Linked DNA regions of Cricetulus griseus. The protein of the gene in region 1 purifies or fractionates together with the protein of each later gene. This does not show direct contact. Links are inferred from orthologs where the notes say so. Each region holds a gene or a part of one and is shown in the gene's direction. Other genes may lie near its edges.

Region 1 (4,155 bases):
TTCAGGTCCTAATTGAGCTATTTCCTCAATCCACATTACCTCTTTTAAACAATGTAACTACAAAGCCCCCGAAATTACCTACATAGTTGCTGCTGAAGCACTTGGGGGCCTTGTCTTCTAACACTAGGCGCCTGGCTTCAAGTGTTTGCTCTTTCTCCTATTTAATTAACTGGCTGAGGCATTCCTTTACTAGGACTCTTGGAATTCTGCTTTCCTGCACTATGTGGAGAATCCTAGGGCACCTGACTAAGAGGCGCCTGAGGCTCTGAAAAGGGGAGTTTCAGGCTGCACAGCCGGCACAGGATCTGTGTTCCCTGCTGCCACTGCCAGGAGGACATTTTGAATAGCTGAGTGATTGCAATCTGTTCCGTGAGGGCGGTTTAAAGCCACGTGTTAGCCTTCATCACATTATGAATTTCTAAGGTCAGTAGTAGTTTATGGCCTTGGAATAAATGGGGAGGGTAGTTTATTGATTATAATCTGGTCATCACAGCACTCAGAAAATTTGTATAGCACAAGAATTCCTTGCTGTCTGTATTCTTCAGTGAGACATTTTCCTTCTAGTTTTCCCTCACTTCTTCGATTTAGCTTACCACTTCAAATGATTTTAAAAATCTTTTGAAAGAGCCCTTATTTAGGGCAATCCCATTAAATTGGCAGCTAGAGGCTGAAACTCTGGCCTAGTCCGCCCCTATTTTAACATTTGGATGATTCAAGTTGCTTCCAGTACTAGGTACCTTTAGTTTCGAGAATGAACCATGGCAATATACTAAGTATAGTGATAGGGTTTTATAAGGGGCTTTCACAGTAGCAGGTAAGCACAGCCTTTAAAGGAAGCAAGGAGAAAGGCAAAACTCACTCATCGAGTGTGGCCACATGAATGATCAGCTGAGTTATCCGGACCACACCTTTCAGCGCTTGAGGATGCCGCACTTTTAACACTGCGGGCCCCTCAAGTCCCCCGGTTCATCAAGACTGCGCCAGTCTGCCCAGGCTCCCACACCCTCTTGTCTGTCTGCGGCAGCGTCCACTCCCTCCCCGCAATGCAGCGGCGCGCCCCAGTCTGCAGCATCGGCGCACGCCCAGGCGGCTGCCCCGCCCCGTGGGCCCATGCAGGGAGGGGACTGCGAGCCGAGCCCGCCTCTGCGGCGGCCAGCCGGGCGCTCAATGGACCTGGCCGGCCGGGGGAGGGACCGTGGCCACCCGGCCGCGCCCGCCCCGCCCCAGCAACTACTTAAGAGGCTCTGGAGCCGACGCCTCCACCTCATTGCGTTACTTACCTCGACTCTTAGCTGTCGGGAACGGTAACCGTGACCCGCTGTCTGCTTTTGTCACCTTCGCCTTCTAACCCGTAGCTACCATGGTGAGTGCATCGGTGCAGGGAAGGGAGGCGAGGCGAGGGCTGCTCGCTGGGGCCTGGGGCTGAAGCGTGTGTGAGCAGGAGAGCAAGGGTCCCAGGCTGCTGGGGGCTGCCTGTATCTGAGGGAGAAGGGGCTCTCCAGGGTACCCCTGGAAGAGCGGGCGAGCATGGGGCCCCAGCTACTGGGGGTCGCCGGGGTCTGGGGGAGATGGGGTTGTCCCGGGTTCCCCTGGGTGAGCCGGGGAGCATGAGGCCCATGCTGAGGACCCATGAGCCCATCCCTGAGGACCTCCGGGATGTGGAGAAGGGGCTCTCCCGGGCCCCGCTGGACTTGGGTCTGCATCCGTCCACGCCCTGCACAAGGCATTTACAGCATGGCGCTTTCAGACTGCAGTCTTCCCGCGCGCGGGCCCTGCCCCCACCCTACCCTTGCGTTCTGCTTTTCGGGCGCGCGCACATAGCCTTTCCCCGCCCTCACTTCCTCTTCGGTGCGAAAAGGCGGGGGCGGGAAGACGCCAGGAGACAAAGACGCATGCGCGACCGTTACGTTCCCGCCTGAGAGCGGCGGGAAGAGCCTCTGCAGTGTGCGCGTGCGCGCTGCGGCACTGCGGGCTTAATTCGTTTAGGGTGTGTCTCCTGTATTTGGGGGGGACGGTGGGGCAAACCCTGGCCCTCGAATACTAAGCCCCCTCTCTACCTCAGCCTCGATTTTCCTTTTGCTTTTAATGAAAGCAATAAGAAATGTGGGGCAGGTCTCGGACTATATTCCACAATACTTAGCAATAACAGCGTGAAGTCTCAGCTGTCTCGAGTTAGGAATTTGTGTGGGACCAGGTGGTGACATTGAAGGGTTTGAGGGTAACAGAAATCGGATCTGAGCGGCTTATGATTCCCTGCTGGACCAGGACGGATGCGGGGGGAGCTGAGCTCAGCGCCTACAAATAGAGGAAGTGGCAAACCAGCTGCATCCCGGGCGCCTCGGTGCATGCACAAATAAATGCTCCATTATCTCATTCCGTAGAGCCCTGCCACCAGAACCTTCCTCATTGCTTAAGTCACATGCTTCCTCTGCCTACAGTTGTCCGGAAGTCTGGGCACAAAGCAAAAGTAGAACTCTGAGGGCACAGGGTAAATGAAAAGCCTTCGTATCTTGGTTTTCAAAAAAGGAAGTGTGACTAAGCACTTCTAGGTGTGGAAAGGCTGAAATTAGCTTTTTTTTTTTTTTTAATAAATGCTTGCGAGTTTTAACGATTTGTCACTTTGTGCCATGGTTAGAATTCCAGCTGCTTGCGGCATTACTAATAGTTTTTTTTTCCCCTTCTTTCTGTCCCACAGCGTGAGTGCATCTCCATCCACGTTGGCCAGGCTGGTGTCCAGATCGGCAATGCCTGCTGGGAGCTCTACTGCCTGGAACATGGCATCCAGCCTGACGGCCAGATGCCAAGTGACAAGACCATCGGGGGAGGAGATGACTCCTTCAACACCTTCTTCAGTGAGACAGGCGCTGGCAAGCATGTGCCCCGGGCCGTGTTCGTAGACCTGGAACCCACAGTCATCGGTAAGTGGGCCAGGGGCTTCCCTGAGGCATTCTGTCCTGGTCACATACTCAGAACCTCTCCACACACCGCCGAAGAGTGAGTGAGCTTGTGTGTGTCAGTTACTGTTGTGAATGGTTGATTTCATCTCCTTTTCCAGATGAAGTTCGCACTGGTACCTACCGCCAGCTCTTCCACCCTGAGCAGCTCATCACAGGCAAGGAAGATGCTGCCAATAACTATGCCCGTGGCCACTACACCATCGGCAAGGAGATCATTGATCTTGTCTTGGACAGAATTCGCAAGCTGGTAAATACCATAGATGGATGGATTCATTTAAAATGCAGTGTGGGGGAGTGTTGGGACCTGCCAAAATAAGTAAAGTCTGTTCACTACTGATAAACAATGCCTTTTCTTTTTTTCCTACAGGCTGACCAGTGCACAGGTCTTCAGGGCTTCTTGGTTTTCCACAGCTTTGGTGGGGGAACTGGCTCTGGGTTCACCTCCCTGCTGATGGAGCGGCTCTCTGTCGATTATGGAAAGAAGTCCAAGCTGGAGTTCTCCATCTACCCAGCCCCCCAGGTTTCCACTGCTGTGGTTGAGCCCTACAACTCCATCCTCACCACCCACACCACCCTGGAGCACTCTGATTGTGCCTTCATGGTAGACAACGAGGCCATCTATGACATCTGTCGTAGAAACCTCGACATTGAGCGCCCCACCTACACTAACCTTAACCGCCTCATTAGCCAGATTGTGTCTTCCATCACTGCTTCCCTCAGATTTGATGGAGCCCTGAATGTTGACCTGACAGAATTCCAGACCAACCTGGTACCCTACCCTCGCATCCATTTCCCTCTGGCCACATATGCCCCTGTCATCTCTGCTGAGAAAGCCTACCATGAGCAGCTTTCTGTAGCAGAGATCACCAATGCCTGCTTTGAGCCAGCCAATCAGATGGTGAAATGTGACCCTCGCCATGGTAAATACATGGCTTGCTGCCTGCTGTACCGTGGGGATGTGGTTCCCAAAGATGTCAATGCTGCCATTGCCACCATCAAGACCAAGCGCAGCATCCAGTTTGTGGACTGGTGTCCCACTGGCTTCAAGGTTGGCATTAATTACCAGCCTCCCACTGTGGTACCTGGTGGAGACCTGGCTAAGGTCCAGAGAGCTGTGTGCATGCTGAGCAACACCACAGCCATCGCTGAGGCCTGGGCTCGCCTAGATCACAAGTTTGATCTGATGTATGCCAAGCGT
Region 2 (3,646 bases), on another chromosome or scaffold:
AGTTTGTGTGTTGGTCCCTCTCAGCCCTACGGGCACTTTCTCACCTATGAAATACAAGTGGTAGAGGTGGCTTTGTGATATATTAAGGAAAAAAGAATGTCCTTACTGACTTTATGGCAGCCTTAGATAGCATCTTTTACTTTAGCTTTACACACAAAACCACGCCCCATCTTCCCTCATTCCTGGCCTTCTGCATCTCTCCACCTCTTTCAGTGGAATCACTAAGTTCCCCAGCATGGACTGGAGGCTCTTTGCAGCCCTAGCTGGCTTCTGCAGATAAGTTCCCCCAAGACTCCCATGAACCTCCAGTATTCAGTGTTGTTATTACCTTGGGATAATAACAGTGGCAGGAGTGATTAGAAGACATGACCTAGAGTTTCTCACAGGGTCATCATTGCCCAGGTTCTTGGGTTGACTCAGTAGCTCTTGAGACCTTAGACTTGAGTCTGAAATTGGGTGGACACTGAAGAGGCAGCAATATTTACTGACAGAAATTCTGGTGGGAGATCAGTCAATGTGTAGGAAAAATGGGTGAACCACGGGGGGTTAATGAATGGGGAAATGAATAAGTTGGTAAATGAATGGAAGGGTAAACTAATGCAAGACTTGAGAGTATAGATTGAAGCCGGGCGTTGGTGGCACATGCCTTTAATCCCAGCACTTGGGAGGCAGAGGCAGGTGGATCTCTGAGTTCGAGACCAGTCTGGTCTACAAGAGCGAGTGCCAGGACAACCTCCAAAGTTCCACAGAGAAACCCTGTCTCCAAAAACAAAACAAAACAAAAAAGTACAGATTGAAAATTGGAAAAACTTAGAGAATGAATTGAGTAGTTGGTAAAATCACCTTGTTGAATTAAACCCTGTAGCTGTAGGTTGGAGGCCTTAAGTTTGACTCTTCAATTTCCTTATTTTTTTCTATGCTGGAGATTGAGTTTCCACATGCTATGCAACCTCTCAACATTTCTTTTCTCTGCCTCTAGTGTCCTCTATTTCTCCATCCACCGCTATGAGCAGGGTCGGTTCTGGCCCCACCTTAAGGCTTCTAACTGGTCCACTACAGGTTTTGGCCAAGGCCAGGGATATACTATCAATGTACCTTGGAACCAGGTCAGTGTCTTCCCACCTGAAGTGAGCCTAGCCCTGCCCTCCCACCGACTCAAGAAAGGTGCCTGACTGTCCATCGTGTTTCTGTGTCTGCAGGTGGGGATGCGGGATGCTGACTACATTGCTGCTTTTCTGCACATCCTGCTGCCAGTTGCCTTTGAGGTCTTGGAGATCCAGGAAATTTAGGGGTGAGGGGCAACACTGAGGGATGACCTGTGAAGGAGGGTGTTCTCACATAGTCTGTTCCCTTCCTCAGTTTCAGCCTCAACTGGTCCTGGTGGCTGCTGGATTTGATGCCCTCCAAGGAGACCCCAAGGTAAGGCAGGTTCTCGGGTTTTAGGTAGGCAAAGGGGAGTACACTGGCCGGGTGTTGGTGGTGCACGCCTTTAATCCCAGCACTCGGGAGGCAGAGGCAGGCGGATCTCTGAGTTCGAGGCCAGCCTGGTCTCCAGAGCGAGTGCCAGGATAGGCTCCAAAGCTACACAGAGAAACCCTGTCTTGAAAAACCAAAAAAAGGGGGGAGTACACTGAGCTTTGTGTTCCTGCAGGGAGAGATGGCCGCCACTCCAGCAGGCTTTGCCCACCTAACCCATTTCCTCATGGGTCTGGCAGGAGGCAAGGTGATTTTGTCTCTGGAGGTGAGTAACTCACTTTTATCAAACTCTAGATCCTAAAGGGCTTAGAATTTTTATATTTGTTTATTCATTGTTTGTATGTACATGCACATACGCTATGCACATGTACCATGATGTATGTGGTCAGAAGACAACTGTGGGAGTTGGTTCTCTCCTTCCACCATGTAGATTCTTTTGGGGGATTGAACTTCGGTTATCAGGCTTGGTGGCAAGCCCTCTTATCCTCTGATCCAACTCACTGGCCCACTTGGAGGCTCAAGAACAGATCTTTTGGGCCTTGGGGATGGAGTTAAAAGGTAGAATGCCACAGGCGGTGGTGGCGCATGCCTTTAGTCCCAACGCTCAGGAGGCAGAGGCAGGCGGATCTCTGTGGGTTCAAGGCCAGCCTGGTCTACAAGAGCTAGTTCCAGGACAGCCTCCAAAGCTACACAGAGAAACCCTGTCTCGAAAAACCAAAAAAAAAAAAAAAAGGTAGAATGCTTAGCTAATATATAATATATGTAAGGGCTTCCATTCTTAGGACCACTGAAAACAAAACAAGAGCTTTCATGTATATAAGAAGTTCCTGGGGGCCAAAGAGATGCCTAGTGGTTGAGAGCACTTGCTGCTTTTACAGAGGACCTGGGTTCGATTCCCAGCATGGTGTCTTGCAAGTAGGCACATGTGTGGTACACATATACACATGCAGGCAAAACATTCATAATCATAAAGTTAATTGATTCTCAATTTTTTTTTGTTTGTTTTTCAAGACAGGGTTTCTCTGTGTAGCTTTGGAGCCTATCCTGGCACTCGCTCTGGAGACCAGGCTGGCCTCGAACTCACAGAGATCTTCTTGCCTCTGCCTCCTGAGTACTGGGATTAAAGGCAGGTGCCACCAACGCCTGGCCAATTCTCAAAAAAATTTTAATGTGCTTTTTTTTGTAAAGTTGTTCCTTGCTTGGCCTTACTTCTCCATAATTCCTTGGTGCCTCTGCTAATCACTTTACATCATTGTCCAGTAAATTAAATGATGTCACCATCTAGATTTCTTGTTGTTTGACATATAGTATGCACCCAAATATTGTTACTGTTATCAGTATCCTTCCCTGTTAATATATGGCCCTCTGCTTGCCTCCCCCAACAACTCCTTCCCCAGGGTGGCTATAACCTCCATGCCCTGGCTAAGGGTGTCAGTGCATCACTCCACACTCTTCTTGGAGACCCTTGCCCCATGCTGGAGTCCCCTGGTGCACCTTGTGCAAGGTAAGCCTGGGGGAAATGGGAAAGGAGAGCTCTTATTGCCTGCCTGGGGGCCGTTTCATCACATTTCTGCTTCCCTCACCCCCAGTGCCCAGACTTCAATCTCCTGCACGCTAGAAGCCCTTGAACCCTTCTGGGAGATCCTTGTGAAATCAGGTAGGAGGTGGGGGATGGGCAAAATCAGCATCAGACATGGAATAAGCTATTAGGAATATTCCCTTCCAGAACCCTTCTTTTTTGGTTTTTTGAGACAGGGTTCCTCTGTGTAGCTTTGGAGGCTGTCCTGGAACTAGCTCTTGTAGACCAGGCTGGCCTCGAGCTCACAGAGATCCACCTGCCTCTGCCTCCCTTGGACTAAAGCATGCGCCACCACCACCCGGCACCAGATCCCTTCTTGCTTTCCTGGGATGCCTTGGTGGGGATGGCTGTGTGGGTTTTAGGCCTTTTGTCTGGGCCACATTTGTCTCGAAATATGATGGGATCCAGATTCAGCAAGTAGGGTAATCTGAGCCCCTCTTTATAGTCGAGCCCCAGGAGGAAGATGAAGTAGAGGAAGACAGGGTGGAAGAAGAATATGAGGAAGATCGCTGGGAGGCTGCTGGACTGCCAATGGATACATGGCCAGTGCTACAGGATCGCACTGGGCTGGTCTATGATGAAAAGATGATG
Region 3 (3,646 bases), on another chromosome or scaffold:
CAGGGTTTCTCTGGCTTTGGAGGTTGTCCTGGAACTAGTTCCGGTTTTTTTTTTTTTTTTTTTTTTTTTGGAACAAGTTCTTGTAGACCAGGCTGGTCTTGAACTCACAGAGATCCGCCTGCCTCTGCCTTCTGAATGCTGGGACTAAAGGCTTGTGCCACCAATGCCCTGCTCCTAAACAAGTTTTTGTTTGATTTTTTTTTGAGGCAGGGTTTCTCTGTAGCAGTTCTAGCTATTCTGGGAATCTTTGTCAGCAAAGCTGACCTCAAACTTAGAGGTCCACCTGCCTGTTCCTCCTGAGTGTTGGGATTAAAAGGGTATGCACCACCACCTCCCAGCTTTTCTTAATTTTATGTATTTATTTATTCAATTTGGTTTTTCGAGACAGGGTTTCTCTGTGTAGCTTTGGAGCCTATCCTGGCAGTCGCTCTGGAGACCAGGCTGGCTTGAACTTACAGATCCGCCTGCCTCTACCTTCCGAGTGCTGGGATTAAAGGCGTGCTCCATAAACGCCCGACTAATTTTATGTATTTATTTGAGACAGAGTAATACTATGTTGCCTGGGCTGGCATAGAACTCACTGTATGGCTTTCTGGTTTCTCAAAACAGGGTTTCCTGGCCAGCCTGGTCTACAGAGTGAGTTCCAGGGCAGGCTCCAAAGCTACACAGAGAAACTCTGTCTTGAGAAACAAAAACGAAAAAAGACAGTTTCCCTATGTAACCTTGGCTGTCCCGGAACTTGCTCTGTAGACTAGGCTGGCCTTAACTCAGACATCCTCCTGTCTCGGTCTCTCTAGTATTGGGATTAAAGGCAAATGTCAGCACCACCTTTCTGGATAGGGCTCTTTCACTAAATTTATTCCAGGTTGCTTGTGTGAGGGTTATTTACCACACCCCGGCAATTTGCTAGTGGTTACACCATCTTTAAAAAATTACTTCTCATGCATCTTGGTGGTTTATATGTAATATGAGTTGACTTTAAATTTTTAATTTCTCTTGTGCCTGATTATCCTCCCTTTCAAAAAACCTTGCGGTTTTTTGTTGTTTTAAGATAAGGTTTTACTATACATCCTTGGGTGTGTAAGAACTCATAGAGACCTGTCTGCCTCTGTCTTTCAAGTTCTGGGGTTAAAGGCATGCATCACCGTGCCCCAAGGGTAACTTTTAACAATAATTTCTCTTCTTCCAGGGCGAAGAGAAGTTCACCTTTATTGAGAAATGTAACAATCCCCGTTCTGTCACATTACTGGTTAAAGGACCAAACAAGCACACACTGACTCAAATCAAAGATGCAATAAGAGATGGCTTGAGGGCCGTCAAAAATGCTATCGATGATGGTAAGCAGCATGCTGTGCTTGACTTGTGCTCTTTTTAGTCTTAAAGGCATGGCTGAATACTGTGTTCTTTAGTCAATAATTTACACAGCCAGACACCATGCAAAAGTAAAGTCTTCCTTTAAAATGATTGGTATGCTGTTTTTTTTAATAGTATATCATTATTAAAAGTAAGTACAAATAAATTATTAAAGCTGGTGGCTCTTGAGCTACCAATTAGAATGTTTTGCTCTTGGTTGTGGTTGCTCATATTGTGACTCAAGAGGCAGGTCTGTGCTGGGGTGTTACTGTTGGTAAGGCACCTACTTAGCATATGAGGATAGATGTACCCACATGTCTATCACCCAGTACTGCAAGAATATATAAATGCATATAACTAAATAATATTGTTCTGAAATAATTTTATTCTGTATTTGCTGGGTTGGGTTTTGTTTTGTTTTGTTTCTCTATGACTTCTCCTTCCCTTGTCCACAGGCTGTGTTGTCCCAGGCGCTGGTGCAATAGAAGTGGCAATGGCAGAAGCTCTGATTAAATACAAGCCCAGCGTGAAAGGCAGGGCTCAGCTGGGAGTCCAGGCATTTGCAGATGCCTTGCTCATTATTCCCAAGGTTTGAATATTTACCTTAGTTTTCCTTGCTGACAACCTTTGGGATGCAGTCATTTGTTTATGCTAGTTTCCTGAACTATGCCAAGCTAGGCAGGGTGCCACATGCCTTTAATCCTAGCACCTGTGAGGCAGAGGCAGGCTGGTCTTGGCCAGCTGTGTACATAACATTTCAGGCCAGCCAGCAGTGTTTGTAGCAAGAGATAGTCTGCCTCAGACCTGGGTGGGTAGAATTTAGAACACCCACCCTACCACACCTGGGGTAGGCAAGCTCTAAGTGTCCACAGCTGTACAGAGGAGAATGGAAAAAAGAAAGCCAGCATGGAGGTTGGTCACAAAGTGAAGACTAGCAGCCATATAGCAAGGCAAGAGACAAAGTGGACAGATCAGAACTGCATGGCAGCAGCCCAGTAGGCCATTGCTTGCATGGGTTGTTGAAGGATGAGCTTCTTTTTACTTGAGCAAAACTAATGGCCTTGTCATCATGAGCTACTCAGTAAAGGTGAGGGCTTATGACCAGTACTGGGGGAGTGGGGGTGTCTATTCTCTGGAGAGAACATGAATAATGAATGGTTCTATCTCAGTGCATGCAAACCACTGTCCTGTTTGTTTATTTATTTGGGGCAAGAAGGGGTGTGCTATAGCACATAAGGAGGTCAGAAGCCTGCTTTCAGGGAACTTATTTTTAATTGGAAATACTGTAAGTTTATTTAACATTCAGTTTTCAGTTTGTTTCTTCAAGAATTAAATTTGTTTGCTAGGTTCTTGCACAGAACTCTGGTTTTGACCTTCAGGAAACATTAGTTAAAGTTCAAGCTGAACATTCAGAATCGGGTCAACTTGTCGGTGTGGACTTGAACACAGGTGAGATTGTACTTCTTTGTGGGGGTAGACTAGATTAGATGCAGGAAAACTGGGGAAAGTGAAAATGCCTGGGGGATCTTGCTGTGCCTCCCTGGTTTGGAATCAGTCCTGCCCTTCTAAGTTGATGTTACCCATAACTGTACCAACTAGATATGGAGACTGGGGCATGGGATGGATATTTTAAATGGTGGAGTAAAGCTAGTGGCATGATCGTAACCCTGCTTTTTAGCCCCTATAACACAAATGTACAATATAAAGCAGAAGGCCTACTGTCCATACTCACTAACTTAATTGAAGAGATTGCTGGAATGAGGGAAGTCAACAGGAATGAGTCCATAGCAGAGGGGGGTCTAAATGCTTGCTCAGCAGCTAGTGCTTTGTCATAAAGAGATATGAACCACATGGCCAAGATTCTGGAAAGGAGTGGTGAATAGTCAGTGATAACCAGTACTGTTGCTTCATATTTTAAAGATTTGAAGTTGTCTTTGACTACATAGCAAAATCCTGTCTAAGATAGTCCAAATTGGTCCTTGTTTTCTGTTCTAGAATTGGTGGGGTTTGTTCATAAATAGGATGATTTCTTGAAAAAGGTAAAGGTATTCGATTGGGGCTAGAGAAAGATAGTTAAGAGCAATAGTTGCTTTTCCAGAGGACCTGGGTTCCAGTACTAGCACCCACATGGCAGCTCACAACTGGTGTTACTTCAGTTCCAGGGGCTCTGATACCCTCAGGCATGCGTGCAGTTAAAAGACCAATGCATGTGAAATAAAAATCACTTTTTAAATTAAAAAGAAAGGGGCATCTGATAATTTGTGGTTTCAAGGTGTGGTATTTATTTTTCAGG

The links.
Region 2: the proteins of Tuba1b (region 1) and Hdac6 purify together in Homo sapiens (affinity purification with western blotting; 4 studies listed by BioGRID, with this or other methods). This does not show direct contact. The link is inferred for Cricetulus griseus from reciprocal best matches to the Homo sapiens genes TUBA1B and HDAC6.
Region 3: the proteins of Tuba1b (region 1) and Cct6a purify together in Homo sapiens (affinity purification with mass spectrometry; 3 studies listed by BioGRID and IntAct, counting the BioPlex papers as one, with this or other methods). This does not show direct contact. The link is inferred for Cricetulus griseus from reciprocal best matches to the Homo sapiens genes TUBA1B and CCT6A.

Annotation. Positions count from the first base shown.
Region 1 is NC_048595.1:395,400,657-395,404,811, reverse strand, and holds the start of Tuba1b (tubulin alpha-1B chain), read left to right. Parts: upstream 1-1,261; 5' UTR 1,262-1,360; coding exon 1,361-1,363; intron 1,364-2,695; coding exon 2,696-2,918; intron 2,919-3,055; coding exon 3,056-3,204; intron 3,205-3,324; coding exon 3,325-4,155. UniProt on the Homo sapiens protein: Tubulin is the major constituent of microtubules, protein filaments consisting of alpha- and beta-tubulin heterodimers. Microtubules grow by the addition of GTP-tubulin dimers to the microtubule end, where a stabilizing cap forms.
Region 2 is NC_048604.1:114,403,155-114,406,800, reverse strand, and holds part of Hdac6 (histone deacetylase 6), read left to right. Parts: intron 1-979; coding exon 980-1,106; intron 1,107-1,199; coding exon 1,200-1,265; intron 1,266-1,359; coding exon 1,360-1,419; intron 1,420-1,651; coding exon 1,652-1,741; intron 1,742-2,873; coding exon 2,874-2,980; intron 2,981-3,065; coding exon 3,066-3,133; intron 3,134-3,500; coding exon 3,501-3,646.
Region 3 is NC_048597.1:109,117,496-109,121,141, forward strand, and holds part of Cct6a (T-complex protein 1 subunit zeta), read left to right. Parts: intron 1-1,189; coding exon 1,190-1,337; intron 1,338-1,383; exon of another isoform or gene 1,384-1,516; intron 1,517-1,808; coding exon 1,809-1,942; intron 1,943-2,699; coding exon 2,700-2,802; intron 2,803-3,645; coding exon 3,646-3,646. UniProt on the Homo sapiens protein: Component of the chaperonin-containing T-complex (TRiC), a molecular chaperone complex that assists the folding of actin, tubulin and other proteins upon ATP hydrolysis.